2 linked regions of the Tamandua tetradactyla genome follow. The protein of the gene in region 1 purifies or fractionates together with the protein of each later gene. This does not show direct contact. Links are inferred from orthologs where the notes say so. Each region holds a gene or a part of one and is shown on either strand. Other genes may lie near its edges.

Region 1 (8,082 bases):
AACATACATTTTCCTTCCTGGCCTCCCTGACCTCCCTTCCTCCAACTCACCCTCCACCCTGCAGCCAGGGAAGCTTTGGAAAATGCAAATCTATCCAAGTCAGCTCCAGGCTTATAAACTCCCATTGACTTCTTGTGGCCCTCAGGATAAAGTTCAGACTCCCTGTTTCTGGAGTAAGATTTCTGGGGAAGGGGATGAAACAGTGACTAGAAGTAAGGGTCCAGTCAGTTTGGCGAGAGCCTTAATGCCAGCTTTCAGACTTGGGCTTTAGCCGGCAGGCCCTGGGAGCCATCAAAGGCTTCTGAGTCAGGCAGGTATGTGACCAATATCAAAGATATATCCGTGTGGAGTGTAGGTGGGGCACGAAAGAGATGGGGGGGCTGGAAGCCCAGGCAGAAGGCTACTGGAATGGTTCCAGTTGTAACGGGAAGGGTCCAAAGTTAGAAGAACGTTGATTCTAGAAATATTTAGGATATGAAATGGACTACCCTTAGTGAAAGAACATGTTGGGAGGAAGAGAAAAGAAAACTTTCACTTTTTCCTAGCTTCCTTCCTTTATTCAACATTTATTGAGCACCTACTAGATGCCAGCAAACAGGACAATCAAGGTCCCTGGTCTCACAGAGTGAACATTGTGCTGCAGGAGGCAAATGAGGAGGCTAACAATTAAGAAAGTATAACTTGTGATTGGGGCACGTGCTGGGAAAGAAATTAAAAAGCATGAGATCAAAAGTAAGTGGGGTGCAGCCCCTTGTAGAGCAGTGTGGGTTCCACAGGAGGCTAGGGATGGTTGCCATGTGATCCTGAAACCCCATTGCTCAGTATATTCCTGGAGGAACTGAGTGTGGGGACAGGAATGGACATTTGTACACTTGTGTTTATGGTGGCAGTATTCCTGATCCACAATGAATGAAGGTGGGGCACAATGACGGAGGAATGGAAGTGGGTACTATGGTGTACACATACACTGGACTACTGAATCTCCACCAGAAGGAATGAAGTTGTGCAGCATGCAACTAGATGAATGAAGTTAAAGAGCTGTATGTTAAATGAAATGTCAGGAACAAAAAGACAAATATTATCCCGCTTCAACTATATGGACTAACTATAATATAAAAATCTGGTGAACTACAGTCGAGAGCATGGGTTATCAGGTTGGGGGTTATTGTAAAGGATCCTAGATTGTAAGCTCTGAAAGCAGTCGTAAATGTTTAGGAGTGTAACTGTTATTTCTAAATTCTGAGATACTGAGGTGTTTGCATATAACATGGGTTTTCCCAGAAACTTCGGGTATTTGTGTGACACCTGAGACTCAGAGTCAGAGCTCTGAAGCTATCAAAGTCAGCAGTACCCCATACAGGAACTGTTTAAAGAGTTGAAAAAGTGATCAGACTTCGAGTAGAGATATGAATGAAGATGATATCATCCGTATCTTAAAACTTCAACTTCTGTGTCAGACTAAAGGGAGAGAAGTCTATTTGGTGCAAGATTTATATTTTGGGTAGTGCATTTCCTGATTTAATTTGTATAGTCAGTTTAGTTGAACACCATAGATACAGGGAATCTTGAATAGGGCATGAGATTTTATTGGTTGTCCAAGTTAATGTGATGGCCTGATAAATTCCAGAGTGATATGGACAGTGAATAAAGAAGTATTTGTAAAGTCCCCTTGGGGGAATTGGGAGAAAGAGGGAAAGATGCAACTTCCCCATTTAGAGAATTTCTGATACTCTCACAAGCAATGGGGACAACCAAATCAATAGGCCAACCCCTCGATCTTGGGGTTCATCCCTATGAAACTTATTCCTGCAAAGGGTAGGCTAAGCCTGCTTAAAATGAGGCCTAAGAGTCGTCCCTAGAGAACCTCTTTTGTTGCTCAGATGTGGCCTCTCTCTCTAAGCTGACATGGCAAGTGAACCCACTGCCCTCCCCCATCTACGTGGGATATGACTCCCAGGGGTGTATATCTTCCTGGCAACATGGGACAGGAATCCCAGAATGAGCTGGGACCCAGCATCAAGGGACTGAGAGAGCCTTTTTTAAAAAAATTTATTTATTAATTAAAAAGTAAAGAAACAAAATAAAACATACATAATCAGTAATTCACAATATCATCACTTAGTTGCATATTCATCATTTCTTAGAAAATTTGCATTAATTCAGAAAAAGAAATAAAAAGACAATAGAAAAAGAAATAAAACGAACACAGGAGAGAAAGCCTTCTTGACCAAAAGGGGGAAGAGAGAAATAAGGCAAAATAAAGTCAGTGGCTGAAAGATTTCAAACAGAACTGAGAGGTTATCCTGGAGGTTATTCTTACACATTATACAGATATCCCTTTTCAGTTTATAGTGTATTTGAGTGGCTAAAGGGAAGTGCCTGAAACTTTGGAGCTGTGTTCCAGTAGCCTTGTTCCTTGAAGATGATTGTATAATGATATAGCTTTTACAATGTGACTGTGTCATTGTGAAAACCTTGTATCTGATACTCCTTTTATCTAAGATATGGACAGATGAATAAAAAATATGGATAAAAAATAAACAGATAATAGGGGGAACAAAGGTTAAAATAAATTGGATAGATGAAAATACTAGTGGTTAATGAGAGGGAAGGGTTAAGGGTATGGGATGTATGAGTTTTTTCTAACTTTTTATTTCTTTTTCTGGAGTGATGCAGAAAAAATGATCATGGTGATGAATACACAACTATGAGATGTTATTGTGAGCCACTGATTGTACACCATGCATGGAATGTTTGTATGTTAAGAATGTCTGTATTTGTATGTTGTTTCACCAATAAAAATATTAAATAAAAAAAAGTAACTGGGGAGAAGGAAGGGATCAGGGTAGGCCCTTTAAATGCTGAGACCCGACCGAACCGAGTGATGAAGGAACCAGCCCCCTTGAGTTGCTGTGCTACAGATCCCAGAAGAAGAGCAGCGAGTGCAGAGGCCCTGAGGGTGGGAAAGCCTGTGAGTTGGAGGCTGGTGCACTAGGACAGGCACGAAGGATGGGGTGGAGAACACAGGCAAGGGCTGTGGTTTGGAGGTTTTCTTTTAGGTAGGTTAGAAAACCCCCTGAACTGTTTTAAGCAGAGAACTGACATGCTCCAGCAAGAAGGCTGGTGATGGGGACACGTGTGTCAGCAGGGAATCGAATGAAGGGGATCAGAGGGAGTTTGTTGAATAACAATGCCCCACTCTTTCCCCTCCCAGCCACAAAGCTGTTCAAAGGGAAGTGGGGCTCTGCCACCTGGAGGGTCCCCTGGGGTTTGCCCAGAGCAAACAGGAAGCCACAGCCCAGTGAGACAGGCATGGGAATCGGCAACTGAGAAAGTGGGTCTCTTGGGTCCCTCAATCCTTTCCCTCAGTGCCTATAGCAGTGAAGACAAAAGATACCGAGAGAGAGAGAGAGAGAGAGAGAGAGAGAGAGAGAGAGAGAGAGAGAGAGAGAGAGAGAGAGAGAGAGAGAGAGAGAGAGATATGAAGGAGGGAGGGAGGGGGGGAAAGGCGGGGAGGCAGAAGGAAAACAGATTTAGGAAGTCAGGACTCCTCAGTTTTAGTGTTCATTGCGCCCCCAGCTCGATGTGTGATGCTGGGCAATGCCCTGCCTTTTTTGGGGTCTCAATTTCTCCATTTCTAAATGGATTCCTTCCTTAACTGAATGCAGGAGCTACTTAGGGGAAGAACCAGGAGAAAAGAGGGCGTTATTCACCAGTCATTTCTAAGATGGCTGCCAAGGAGCTACAGAGTCTCCTGCCTGCCCCCCACACTGTCAAGCCCTCTCCTGGCTTTATGTGTGTTGACTGATTCATTCTTAGAACAATGGATGGGGGGCCGGAGGTTCTCTCCTCATCACCCCCAATTCACAGGGAAGGACACTTGCCCAAGGGTTTGAATCCAGGCAGACTGGCTCAAACCTGTGGTTTTAGCATTCACTGTGCTGGGCATTGAGCTAAAAATGCCATATACCTACTGTTCTGTCTAATCTTCACGAACAAGCTTTGGGTAGTTGTAGCATTATCTGCAATTTACAGAGATGGAAACTGAGGCTTACAGAAATGAAGAAATTTAGCCAGGTAGTAGAGGCGGAGGATTAAAACACAGGTCTGGCAGATCCCAAAGTGTATGGGATGGGTTAGTGGTTCAGGATAGAATAAAAGCCCAAGAATTATCAAATGAATGAATGGAATGGGTTTGTTGAAAGAATGAGTGGGAAATGGATTTGGAGCCTGGGGTAGGGAGGAGGGAGAAGCAGAGAGCCCCTAAGGTTGAATTCACTCATTCAACAAGTATTTCTTGGGCACCTACTCTGCCAAGCACGGTTTTAGGGCCCTCGGCATTTAGTGGTGAATAAGACATAGTCTCTGCTGTGAGGGGGAAACAGAAAGTGAACACGCAGGCACACAAATAAGACCATTTCACATGGTTGTAAGCACTGGGATGAAAATAAAACAGCGTAGCAGGGAAGAGGCGAGCTTTGTGAGTCTGGTGGGGTGCTTGAAGAAGGGGGCCTGAGGCGTGACCACCCCTTCCTCCCCGGGGGGACTGCCCACCCGCCCCCATAGACGCCCATGGTTCAGTGCCCCCCCAGCCCCCGCCTGCCCAGCATCCTCTGCGCAGCAAAGCTGGGCTTCCTGGGGAGTCTGGCCACCATGCCGCCTCCTCTCCTCCTCTCCTTCCTCCTCTTCCTGATCCCGGTGGGAGTCAGACCCCAGACCCCAGTGCTGGTGGAGGCTGAAGGTAGGTCCGGAGGGCATGGAGGGTAGGCAAAGGGGTTGGAGACCTGGGTTCTGGCTGGGTGGCTTGGCCAAGTAACTTACTCTCTCTGGGCCTCCATTTTCTCATTTGTAAAATTTGGGGAGGGATAGGAAGGAGTCTGAGGACCCATCCACTCCCCACCTGTGGGGTCTGGGTTAGGCCCCAGTGTAAGGAGTGACGGGAGAGTCTTCTCTATCTCTGCCTCTCTCCACAGAGGGAGGTAATGCCTACCTGCAGTGCCTCACAGGCCCCTCGGACGGACCTTCCCAGCAGCTGGCCTGGTCCCGCGGGTCCCAGTCAGCACCCTTCTTAAGGCTGAGCATGAGGCTCCCAGGCCTGGGCATTCAGATGGGACCCCTGGGCATCCTGCTGCTCATCTTCAACGTCTCAGACCAGATGGGGGGCTTCTACCTGTGCCAGCCAGGGCCTCCCTCTGAGAAGGCCTGGCAGCCTGGCTGGACAGTCAGTGTGGAGGGCAGCGGTGAGGGCTGGGCCCAGCTGGGGAAGGGTGGGCTGAGACAGAAGAGGGAGGCCCACCTGAATGAAGGAGTTCCCGGGGCCAAAACTGAGCTGGAGGGAGAGGCTGGGGCTGGGGGGCCCTGTGGGACAAGCAAATGGGCGGGACTCAATGGCTTCAAAACGGAGCTGCACCCAACCCTTCTGTCTTGTACTCTCTGCTCTCTCTACCTGAGTCTCTGTTTGTCCTCCGGCTCTTCTTTGGATCATTGTTGCCATTTGTCTCTGCCTTCTGGGCCTCAGCATCTCTTTCCCTCTCCTGGATGTCTCTGTACCTGGTTCCGGCTCTCTTCCCAGGGGAGCTGTTCCGGTGGAACGCGTCAGACATAGACCACCCAGGCTGTGATCTGGGGAGCAGGTTTGCAGAGGGCTCCAGGCTCTCTTCTGGTCCCCCCACCAGCTCCCAGCTATATATATGGGCTAAAGACCAACCTGAGATCTGGACGGCGGACCCTACATGTGCCCCACCTGGGGACAATCCAAACCATGGCCCCAACCAAGGTAAAGTGACAGGAACTGGCAAGAAGCAAGGAAGTGGAAGTTTGTGTATGTGAGTGTGTGGGGGGGTGCAGTAGATGGAGACTGGGAACTGGAGGGCTTGCGGGGGATGGGACCAAGGACCAAGCTTTCCTAACCTTGGTTCCTTCTACCCTAGATCTCACGGTGACCCGTGGCTCCACACTCTGGCTGTCCTGTGGCATGCCTCCAGATGTCGTGGCTACGGGTCCCATCTCCTGGATCCATGTGCGCCCCAAGGAGCCTGAAATCTCATTGCTGAGCCTAGAACTGAGGGAAAATCCCCCAGTCAGAGAGATGTGGGTTCTGGGGACCCTCAGGGAAAGGGCTCTTCTATTGCTGCCCCAGGTCACAGCTCAAGATGCTGGCACCTACCACTGTCACCATGGCAATGTGACCACCGACTTGCAGTTGAAGGTTATTGTCCGGCCAGGTAGAGAGTTTTTCCCAATTGTGGGCCATCTGTGTGGGGATGCTGGGAAGAAATGGCAGGTAGTCCTCCTTGGACTCTAAACCTAAGGGCTAGTACCAGCCTCACCCTGTACCCCACTTCAACCTTGACCCTCAACTCTTTTCTCCCTCACTTCCTGTACTACTCATTTGTCCTTCCCATCAGCTTTGGTAAGGTCTTCCTTCCTCTTCCACCTTTCACTGCTAGAGCCCTGGTCCTCTTCTCATCTCTGTCCACACTGTCATCCTTGTATACACACTCTCCTTCTTTAACCTCCTTTACTTCCATGGCTGCTTGCACATTCCATGCCCCATACCTAGCTGTCTCCTGGACATTGCCATTTGATGTCCCATGGACACTGAAGACTCAACATCTACAAAATCATCATCTTCCTCCCCAAGTATGGTCTTCTGGGTGGTCCTGTGTAAGGAAGGGCATCACCACCTGCCCACTGGCCCAAACCAGGAACCGGGGTGTCCTTCCTTTTCCTCAACTCATTCATCAAGTTGGTCACAATGTTCTATCCATTCTGTTTCCTTGATCCAATCCTACCATGCTAGCCTAACCACAATTCTCAAACTCAGTCTCAACTTTCACTACAGACGTGACCTCAGCAATGTGCCAGATCCCAACTCTCACCTCCTGAACTCAATTCAGCTCTTGACTTTGACCATGACTGATTCTTATGCTCCCCTTAATCCTAACATGCCCTTGACTCTAGTCATGGTTTGTTCATTCATGGCGCCAGGCTTCATGGCACATCCCTGGCCTCCTAGGACACAGCTCCTTAGAGAGGGAGGGACGAGTGTTGTCTTTGTATCTTGGTTGAGGTCTTGACACTGGGAAGTAAGGTGCCAGTCCTGGGTCCTCGTCTCAAAGCCCCTTTCCTCTAGCAGTATGGCGCTGGCTCCTGAAGAATGGTGGATGGAAGGTCCCAGTTGTGACTCTGGTTTACCTGATCTTCTGCATGGGTTCCATAATGGGCTTTCTTCTTTTTCGAAGGGGTAAGTCATGTTCCCCAGGTGGTCTGCCCAAACCCTGCTCCATCTTCCTCAGGATAATCCCACACTGATAACCTTCTTTCCTCCCATTCCCTCCTTCCATCCCCAAGGACCCCAGAATCCTTTGCCCCACTCCTCCTCGAACCCCCTCAAACTACCATCTCCTCCACTGGCCTGAGTGCTTTCCCTAGAACCCCCCCAAGTCCTCACCCCGCCAAGCAGCCCCTGCCTCTGATCACTCTCAACTCCCACCAGCCCTGATTGTGAAGAAGAAAAGGAAGAGAATGACTGACCCCACCAGGAGGTAACACGGGAGTACCCCCCTCCCCCACCTACAGGCTTTCACTTCATGCTTTGCACTTAACTGTTCCCTGTGCTGGGGGTGAAATATTTCCTAACTCCAAAGCTATCTCCTCTGTGAAGTCTGGCTTGGAGTGATCCCAGGCTCCTCTCTCCTCTGAAGGCTGTCCCACCACAGAGGAGCTAATTATAAGTGGACACCCTTTAACCTCCGAGGGCCTGGCCTCAGGGTGCATCCCTCCCCCCCTCCCCAGGTTCTTCAAAGTGACTCCTCCTCCGGGAAACGGGGCCCAGAACCAGTACGGGAACGTGCTATCCCTTTCCACGACCAGCTCCAGCACCGGTAGGAGGTGCCGCCAGGCCTCGGCTCCCAGCTCGGCCTGTCCCTCCGGCCTCCAGCCCCACCGCCAAGCTGGAGCTCCTCCTGCAGAGCCCATAGAATTCGTTCTCATAGAACCTTCCGCAGGGCCTGAAGGGCGGACCCCACAGCAGAACCCCACCCTAGAACTTGAGGCCACGCCCCTAGAGTTAGATCCCTC
Region 2 (8,569 bases), on another chromosome or scaffold:
TGGTCTGTACGTCTGTCCTGATGTCAGCACCACGCTTTCCTGATGGTTGTCCTTTTGCAGTAAGTTTTGACAGTGTGAGTTTCCTTGACTGTTCTCTCCTCTTCTGTTCCCTGCATTTCTATATGAAGCTGAAGATCAGCTTGTCAATTTCTGCACCGAAATGCAGCTTCGATTTGGTAGGGATTGGGCTGAATCTGTAAATCAGTTTGGGCAGCATTGTCATCTCAATAATGCGGCCTTCTGAGCCATGAAAATGCGGTGTTTTCCCATTTATTTAGATCTTCTTAAATTTCCTTCAAGAGTATCTGTAGTTTCCGATATACAAACCTTGCACTTCTTTTGTAAAATGCTTCCTAGGTATTTCATCCTTTCTGCTGCTATGATAAATATGGGGTTATATGGGATTGTGTCTTCAATTTCATTTTGGCGTTGTTCGTTACTGGCGTAGAGAAATGCAATTGATTTTTGTCCACGGATGCTGTGAGCTGCCACGTTGCTGGATGGGTTTATTAATTCTATGAGATTTTTTAATGGACTTCTTAGGATTTTTTCTACATGAGAGCATTCATTTGCAAACTGAGATAGTTTTAAGTTCTTTCTTTCCAATCTGGGTGCCTTTTACTTAATTTTCTTGTCTAGTGGCCCTGGCTAGAACTTCCAGTCAAATTTTGACTAAAAATGGTGAAAGCTGAATCCTTGCCATGGGGGAAGGGTTTCAGCGTTCACGTATGAGGCTGGCTGTGGCTTTTGAGGATTCCCTTTATCAGGTCAAGAATGCTCCCTTCTGTTCCTGCTTTGTGGAGTTTTTGTTTTTCATCTTGAAAATGTGTTGGATTTTGTCAAATGCTTTTTCTGCATGAAAAGAAAATTGAGACGTTTCTGTGTTTTTTTGTTTGTTTGTTTGTTTTTGTCCCTTATGTGCTAATACGCTGTATCACCCTGACTGATTTTCAGTTAGGCCCTCCCCACCCTTGTTTTTCCACTACGAAGCTGTCCCACCCCGTGCCTGCCCTTATCTGCCAACCCCCAGTGACGGCCATCAGCTCCCTTGCTACAGCCTCTCCGAATAAGTCACCCGTTTGTCTGTATTTCGGTGGTTTTCAGTTATTCCCAGGGGTGGGCTCCAGGGGGTGCTGAGCGGCCGGCTCCAGGAGCCCGGGACAGTGGACCCCCGGAGGACACAACTTGCCCGGCGCCGGCTCTGCTAAGGTGACCCCGCCCTCATGGCTGTGCTGTTTGCAGGTCTAACCCACCCAGACCCCCGGCTGCATCCGGGACCCCGCCAGAGTTGCCTGGTATCAGTGCCCTGTGGCGGCTGTAACAAAGCACCCCATTTCGGTTAGCTAAACTGCCAGGGTGCTACAAACCAGAAATGGGTTGGCTTTTGCAACGGGGGTGCAAAAAATTGCAGCTTACAGTCTGCAATTCTAAGGCCATGAAAGTGTGCCAATTGAGGCATTGACAGGACGATACCTGGACTCTGAAAACGAGCTGCTGGCATCCAGGACACCTCTGTCATGTGGGAAGGCACATGGCCGGGGTCTGCTGGTCCTTTGCTCCCAGGTTTCATTGCTTTCAGCTCCTGGTTCCAGTGGCTTCCTCGCTGAGTGTCTGCGTCCTCTCTTAGCTTCTCCAGGGCTCTTCTCTATAGGCTCTCTTGGCTTTTCCTGTCCTTATCATCTCATAAAGGGCTCCAGAGAAGGATTAGGGCCCAGCTTGCATGGGCCCGGTCACATTTCAAACGAAGCAACCTAAACAAAAGGTCCCCGCCCACGACAGGTTTGCCCCCACAGAAATGGATGAAAAGAACACGGCTTTTTCTGGGGCACACACCCCACACTGGGAGGATGAAAGCAACAGAAATACCGTCTCTCATAGCTCTGGAGGCCAGAGACCGAAATCAAGGCGTTGGCAGGGTTGGTTCCTTTGAGAGGCTCTGAGGGTGAGCTCTTGCTTGCCTCTTCCCACTCCTGGGGGTCCCCCCCGGCTTGCGGCAGCAATACACTGTCTCCTCTCGGTGTCTTTCCCTGGCCTTCCTAGAAGAGCAGCTTTTTATTAGAAGACCCACTCCAACTCAGAATGACCTCAATTTTTACTAATTCTATCTGCAAAGACCCTATTTCCAAATACGGTCATGTCCTTGGGGTCCAGGTGGACATCAGTTTTAGGGGAACATCACCCAACCCAGTACAGAGCAGGAGACCGAGCCACAGCCGGCTGGCCTGCTGTCCCCATGCAGCCACTGTCTCCTCATTACACCCTGTGCTGGCTGGAAAGTATTATGTACCCCAGAAAAGCCATGTATTAATCCTGACTGAATCTCGTGAGGGCAGCTTTTTCTTCTCATCCTGATTCAATATCGCATGGTGGAAAGTTTCGATTCGATTATCTCCATGGAGACGTGACACGCCCAATTGTGGGTGTAATCTTTTGATTTAATGGAGATGTGACCCCACCCATTCTAGGTGGGTCTTGATTAGATCATTAGAGTTTTTAAAAGGGGAAACAATTTGGAGAAAGGACAGAAGCCTCAGAGCCAACGGAAACTTCAGAGCAGAGCTGACACTGATGCCAACACTTGCAGAACAGAGACACAGATGGTTGGAGATGCTTGGAGCCCAGCAGACGTTGCCATGAGATGTTAAGCAAGCCAGAACCTGGAGAGAGCCAAGGGGAGGCAAGAGATGAAAGTCAGCCCTGGAGAAGCAAAGTGAGGAGCCCCCACAGGAACCGAGGCTGAAAGCAACAGAGCCCAGGAACAAGGGACCAGCAGATGCCAGCCATGTGCCTTCCCAGCTGACAGACGTGTTCCTGATGGCATCAGCCTTCCTTGAGTGAAGGTAACTTCTTGTTGGTGCCTTAATTTGGACATTTTTCAGCTCTAGAACTGTAAACTTGTAAGTTATTAAATTCCCCCATTGTCAAAGCCCTTCCAGTTCTGTGGTATTGCATTCCAGCAGCCTGCAAACGAATGCACAACCTCAGTCCCTCTCAGGGCCCACAGCGCCTGGGCCCCGGGCATGGCCTCTGGACGGCCCCGCCTCTGCTCTGTCCTTCTCCTGGTGTCCTGGAGCTGGCCAGATGACAAAGGGGGCCCTTCCTAGGACAGGCCTGTGCCATCACTGCTGGCCGGTCCCCTGCGGTCCCCGCTGGATCAAGCCGGGGGCCACTGGGTGGGAACCTAGCTGTGTGCAGGGCATGACGTGGTGCCCCTGGGAGGGCCTGGCCTGAGCGTGTGGGCACCCCCCATGCGCAGGGCACTGGGAGGGGTCCGCCTGTACCCTCTTAGTCGTGCTCCCTGCCAGCTTGTGGGGCCGGGGTGTCCTTCCATGGCGGGCCGAGGCAGCCTCCTGACCCTTCTCCTTGCTGCCATGTGGGCCACCCTTCAGTCAATCCCCCCGGGAAACCGGAGCCCCCCACTCCCACTGCCACTCCGAATCCAGGGCACCTTCCCTATGCTTCAGGACCTCATGCTGGCCTGCCTGCCCCCAACCCCTCCCTGCCTGCCCCTGACCTTCCTGCCTGCCCCCCAACTGCCCCCCTGACTTCCCTGATTGCCCCTTCGAGTGTCCTGCCTGCCCCTGACTTCTCCACCTGCCCCCCAACTGCCCTGCCTTCTCCTCTGCCCAGCCTCAGCCCTGTCCCCATAACTCCCTCTGCCCCTATCCCACTGGCCTCCTTCCTGCTTCTCCAAGGCACCTGGCCCCTCCCCCCTGCCCAGTGAATGCCCCTCCCTGCCCTCTGCAGGATTGCCCTCTACGCACCCTCAGGGCTCAGGGTCTGGTGGCTCAGTGGGACCCGCGGCTCAGCACGTCCTCTGTGAGCCACGAGTGACCTGTGCAGGGCCGGCTGCTCCTGGGAAATAAGGGGCTTATCTGAATCTCACGGGGAGGGCGGGCTCTGCAGCCAGCCACCTTCCGGAACACAAAGGGATGGGGGATTTCGCAACGTTCGCTACTCTCCAGGTTCCCAGGGTCAGTCTGATCACCCAGCTCCCCCACCGGAGCCCAGGGCCCTCAGGGGAAGGCGCCCTGGCTGCCCAGTCCCCAGCCGGGCCCCGGCACCGTGTCTGGTATGTAGCAGGTGTCCAGCAGGTGTTCTCCACGACTGCAGAAGGGAGAGAACGAGCCGGCCATAGCCCCCACACCCCTCCTTGTCACTTAGATGCAACTTGTGATGGGACAGCAGGTGCCCAGAACACCTGGGTGACTGTTTCCTTCCATCACTGTTCCGTCTCCTTTAAGTGAAACAAACACTCCCTGACCCCGGGGAAGACTTACTTTTATTATCACGTCACATAGATAGGCACAAAAAACTAGCTCTAAACTCACGCTTGCAGCTCTTGTCCAAGTACAAAACCAACACAGATTTACAAATTAACCAGAGAAGACGACAGAATTAAGTAGAAGCAGCTGAGACTGATGGCTGGTTATCCGAATTTCAGCTACCCCTAAATTCTATTAAAAATGCAGTTCTCAGAGGCACCAGCCACACTTCACCGGCTCAAAGGTCACAAACAGCCAGGTGTCAGGCAGACACAGGGCTTTCGGCTATGGCAGCTGCGGGAGTGGCGGGTGGGGTGGGGTAGCTCCTAAAGGGTGGCTCTGTGGTCCGGAGGGTGGGGCGAACCGTGAGTGGGCTCTGCCTGGCCCTCCCTGTTTCTCTGGGCAAGAATGGGCAGAAACTTCATCTGTGGGTCACCCACCCCCACACCGTCCCCATGGGTCTCCCTTCCTCACTGCCCCAAGCCGGCGGGGGCGGGGGCCTGGCCACCAGGCTTTGGGGACCACAGCGGGAAGTGGGGCCTGGCGCCCCGGGGGGCTCCGGCCCCTCCCAGGGGATGAGGGGAAGCACAGCCTGCTTGACCGTCCTCCCGCCGGCCCAGACCTCCCAGCCAGCCCGCGCTGGTCTGCGGGAACCCCGTGGGGACACCAATGGACTGCCCGCACTCCCACCCCCCACGCCGCGCGCGGGCCCGACTCTGGACTCCCGGCGGCCCCGCGCGCTCGGGCCGCTGCGGGCAGCGGGCGGGGCGGGGGGCGGGGAAGGGGCGGGGCCTCGTGCGTCCTATAAGAGGCGCGGAGCGGGGCGCGCGCACGGCCAGAGAGCGAGCGCGCAGCAGCAGCAGCGGCCGCGGCGACCCGAGCGCGCACCGACCAGGCCTCCCGCGCCCCCCCCGCGCCCCCCGCGCCGCGTCCCTGACCCCCGGCCTCCCCCCGGCCCCTCGGCGCCCCCGCCCGCCGCCCAGGCCCGGCCCCCGCCGCTCCCGCCGCCATGGGGGTGGAAGGCTGCACCAAGTGCATCAAGTACCTGCTCTTCGTCTTCAATTTCGTCTTCTGGGTAAGCGGCGCCGCCGGAGGTCGGGGGGCGGGGTGGTTCCTGCGGGGACGCCCCGGACTCCCGCAGGCCGGGCCCCGGCTAGGCCCGAGCGCAGGCGGCGGCGCAGCCCGGCCGCGGCCCGCCAAGTTGCGGGGCCACCTGTGGGCGCCCGGCCTGCGTGCCCGGGGCGCGGGGGCTCGCCCGTGGTCGCTGCGCCCCTGCCCGCGGGGTCGGCGCGGGGTTACGGGACGCCCGGGCCTCTGTGCGTCAGGGGCTCCGGGCCGCGCGGCCGGGCCGGGGCATTTGGGGGGCCCTGGGGGGGGGTGACGTCGGCGCTCGGAGCCGCCGATCCCCACATGAGGGACTGGAGTGGGGGCTGCGGGACCCGAGGCCGCGCGCGCGGGCACCCCTCGGTGGGGGACGGCCGCAGCCCGCTCTCCCGAGCGGCTGATCCCGGGACCACCCTACTTAGGGGGGCGGGAGGGGGCTGGGGCGGGGCTCTTGGCGCCCCGCCCCCATGAGCTCATCGGGGCCACCGCCCCTGCGTCGGCCCACTGGCCCAGGCTTTGGGACCGTCCACAGCCCCCCCTCCAGCCCAGCCTCCAACCGCTGTGACCGCTTCTGAATCCTGGGGTCAGGAAAGCAGTGGGCTTGGCTCAGGCGTGTCTGCGTGTTGGGGTGCCTGCCCCCGCCTCGTCTGCCCATCCGTCGTGGGACCTCAGCCCTGGCCTTGTCTCCCATGCACCCTGGAGTGGGTGTGGGGGAGGGGGAGGGACTGCCGTGGAGGGGAGGGGGGGCCGGCGTCCCGAGTGGGCTCAAGACAGGGTCCCGGCACCAGTACCCAAGTCCTGGGCGAGAGCTTGCCTTCTGGGAAGAGGGACCCATGCTGTGGTCACCTCTGATGATGAATTTTTGGGGGACTGGAGAGTCTCCCTGGAGGAGCTGCTTTCTTCTGCCCTGCCTGAACTGCTGGGAATTCCCCGGGGGTGCGCTTTTCCTTTTGTTTCCATTTCCCGTTAGCCCTGGAATCTGGGAGCAGAGGGAGACTCCTTCAGGACTGGGGGCAGGGAGGTTGCTGGTGGGGGGCTGGCCTGACCGCGGGTCCCTTCCCTTGCTGCCCCTCCATCCCGGGCATGAACTCCCTCTCTCACAGGGGACAGTGGCCCGCATCTTTGTGGAGTCCAGCAGGGTAAACTTGCAGATGTCCCCCAGGCAGGCGCGTTTGGGCCTGGCACATCTGTTTCCCATCTGGACACTGAGGATGCTTGCGGGGGCAGTGAGGTATTTGGGAGGGGGGTGGGGGGACAGAGACTGGACTGAGCACCCAAGAGAGGGGTCGTGCTGTCCTTCTCCAAGCTGGGCTATACTGCAGGAGGGCACGGGGTCCCTCTGGCCAGGGCTGGGTGGGAGTTCCCAGCTGGGGGTCCTGGAGTGCTGGCTTCAGCATGTTTAAAGTCTGCCTGCCTTGGCCCCAGGAGACTGATATGGGATGTCCCAGTGGCGTCTCTGCTTGGATTTGGGGGTGTCGACCCTGGTTGGAAGGGAGGCACAGGCACAGGGAAGGGACTTGTGTTCCTGCCTCCTGGGACCCTGCTGGGCGAGTCCCTCCCGCACCTCCCCTGGGAGCTGGGCCAGTCGGCCGTTGTTTCCCCCCTCCCCCCCGCAGGGGTGGCAGTCTAACGAGTCCCCGGGGGGGCTGCTCTTTATTATCGAGGCTCCAGGAACGGCTTCTGAGCTGAGCCTCTCTGCCCTGTGCGGGAGCTGGTGGGCCACCTATCCAAGCACTTTGAGACACAGGAGCACCCACCCACCCCCTGGGCCCTGGGGGGGGGATGCAGAACAGAGTAGGGTGGGGCTGGCCGAGCCCCTGAACCACTTGGAGTGGGAGCTGGGTGGAGTCCGGCCTTGGCTTCCTGCCCTGTCCTAGGGGTCCCATTTCCCGGGGTTGTTGGTGACTTGGCACAGGGTGGGGGGGCAGGAGATGGGCGTTGGATGTGATGGCCAGCAGGGCAGCAGCCATGATGGGTCAGTGTGGCAGTGCCTGGGGGCCATCCCACGTGACATGGCTCTTCCACTCTATCCTGGCCCAGGTGCCCCTACATGGACACTCGCTCGCTCTCACTTGCCTTCCTCCTCCGGCCAAGACCCAGGCAGTGTGCAAAACCTGTTCTCAGCATGGGTCAGGAGCTTCCTGGTGGAGACAGCTGGCACCCAAGGGCGGGGCGGGGATTCCCTCGTGCCTGTTTTACCCCCAGTTCCCCTGGGCACTGGGGAGCTGCTCTCAGGCTGGCTGGTAGGAGCATATCTGTGGTTTGTCCAAGACGGGCTGGCCGCAGCCGAGGATGCTTGGCCCGTGGGTGCTTACACCCTCCAGATTGCGCAGGACTCAGGCACGGGGGAACCCGGGGACCCCATGGGTGCTAGCTTGGGCCCCGGGGACCCTGTGGGTGCTGGCTGAGGCCAGCCCCTCTCCCACCCTCCCCAGGCAGCATGTGAGACACTCCCCCGCTTTGATCCCTCAGGTCTCACCCTTGCCCACCCCTGTGTGGTCACTCTGTAAATTGACTTCCCTGTCTCCTGACAACTTCTAAGCCCACATGGGGAGATGGACCCCCAGGCCCCCCACGCTTTCAGTTTCCAGGCTGAAATCCCACCCTGGGGAGAGCTTTGGTCATGAAATCAGTCCAGCCTTGAGTTCTGGGACCAGGCCGAGGAAGGGCTGCCTGGTGGCCCCGGGGGACCCCTCCCAGAAACCCCTGAACTTCCTCGGTGCCCCTACTTTATACTTCTGGGCCTAGCCTCAGCTCCGCCTCTGGGGGTGCTGCAGAGCAAATGCTGAGCCCTGTGAGGACACTTTGGGGACCCTCCAGGCAGCCCCCAGACGCAGGAGTACTGACTGCGGATTTCACGCCAGGGCTGCTGCCGTCCAGGCTCACGCCTGGTGCCGGCTGAGGCTGGGGTGCAGGGAGGCATGTCAGAGCCTCGCTGCTTGGGGCAGGGGCACAGGGGTGCCTGGGAGCAGGGAGCCAGCTGGCTGGGAGGAGAATCCCCCTTGTCTAAGCTCAGAAAGGCCATGTGCCCCTCCTACTACCCCCAAGCTGCAGGTCACGTGCCACGAGGAGGGCAGCTGGTGCCTGGGCGTGACCCCTGCCTGTGCTGGTTTGTCGCCATGCGACCTGATGGTACGGACTGATCTAGAGTTGCTCTAGCACCAGGTGGTCGTTTGCTCTCAAGGTGTGTTTAAGGGTGC

What was found.
Region 2: the proteins of CD19 (region 1) and CD81 purify together in Homo sapiens (affinity purification with western blotting, with the first as the bait; 3 studies listed by BioGRID). This does not show direct contact. The link is inferred for Tamandua tetradactyla from reciprocal best matches to the Homo sapiens genes CD19 and CD81.

Annotation. Positions count from the first base shown.
Region 1 is NC_135349.1:25,082,183-25,090,264, forward strand, and holds the start of CD19 (B-lymphocyte antigen CD19), read left to right. Parts: upstream 1-4,605; 5' UTR 4,606-4,653; coding exon 4,654-4,741; intron 4,742-4,973; coding exon 4,974-5,240; intron 5,241-5,572; coding exon 5,573-5,776; intron 5,777-5,930; coding exon 5,931-6,224; intron 6,225-7,135; coding exon 7,136-7,246; intron 7,247-7,498; coding exon 7,499-7,547; intron 7,548-7,797; coding exon 7,798-7,886; intron 7,887-8,082. UniProt on the Homo sapiens protein: Functions as a coreceptor for the B-cell antigen receptor complex (BCR) on B-lymphocytes. Decreases the threshold for activation of downstream signaling pathways and for triggering B-cell responses to antigens.
Region 2 is NC_135335.1:2,264,158-2,272,726, forward strand, and holds the start of CD81 (CD81 antigen), read left to right. Parts: upstream 1-5,220; 5' UTR 5,221-5,274; coding exon 5,275-5,340; intron 5,341-8,569. UniProt on the Homo sapiens protein: Structural component of specialized membrane microdomains known as tetraspanin-enriched microdomains (TERMs), which act as platforms for receptor clustering and signaling.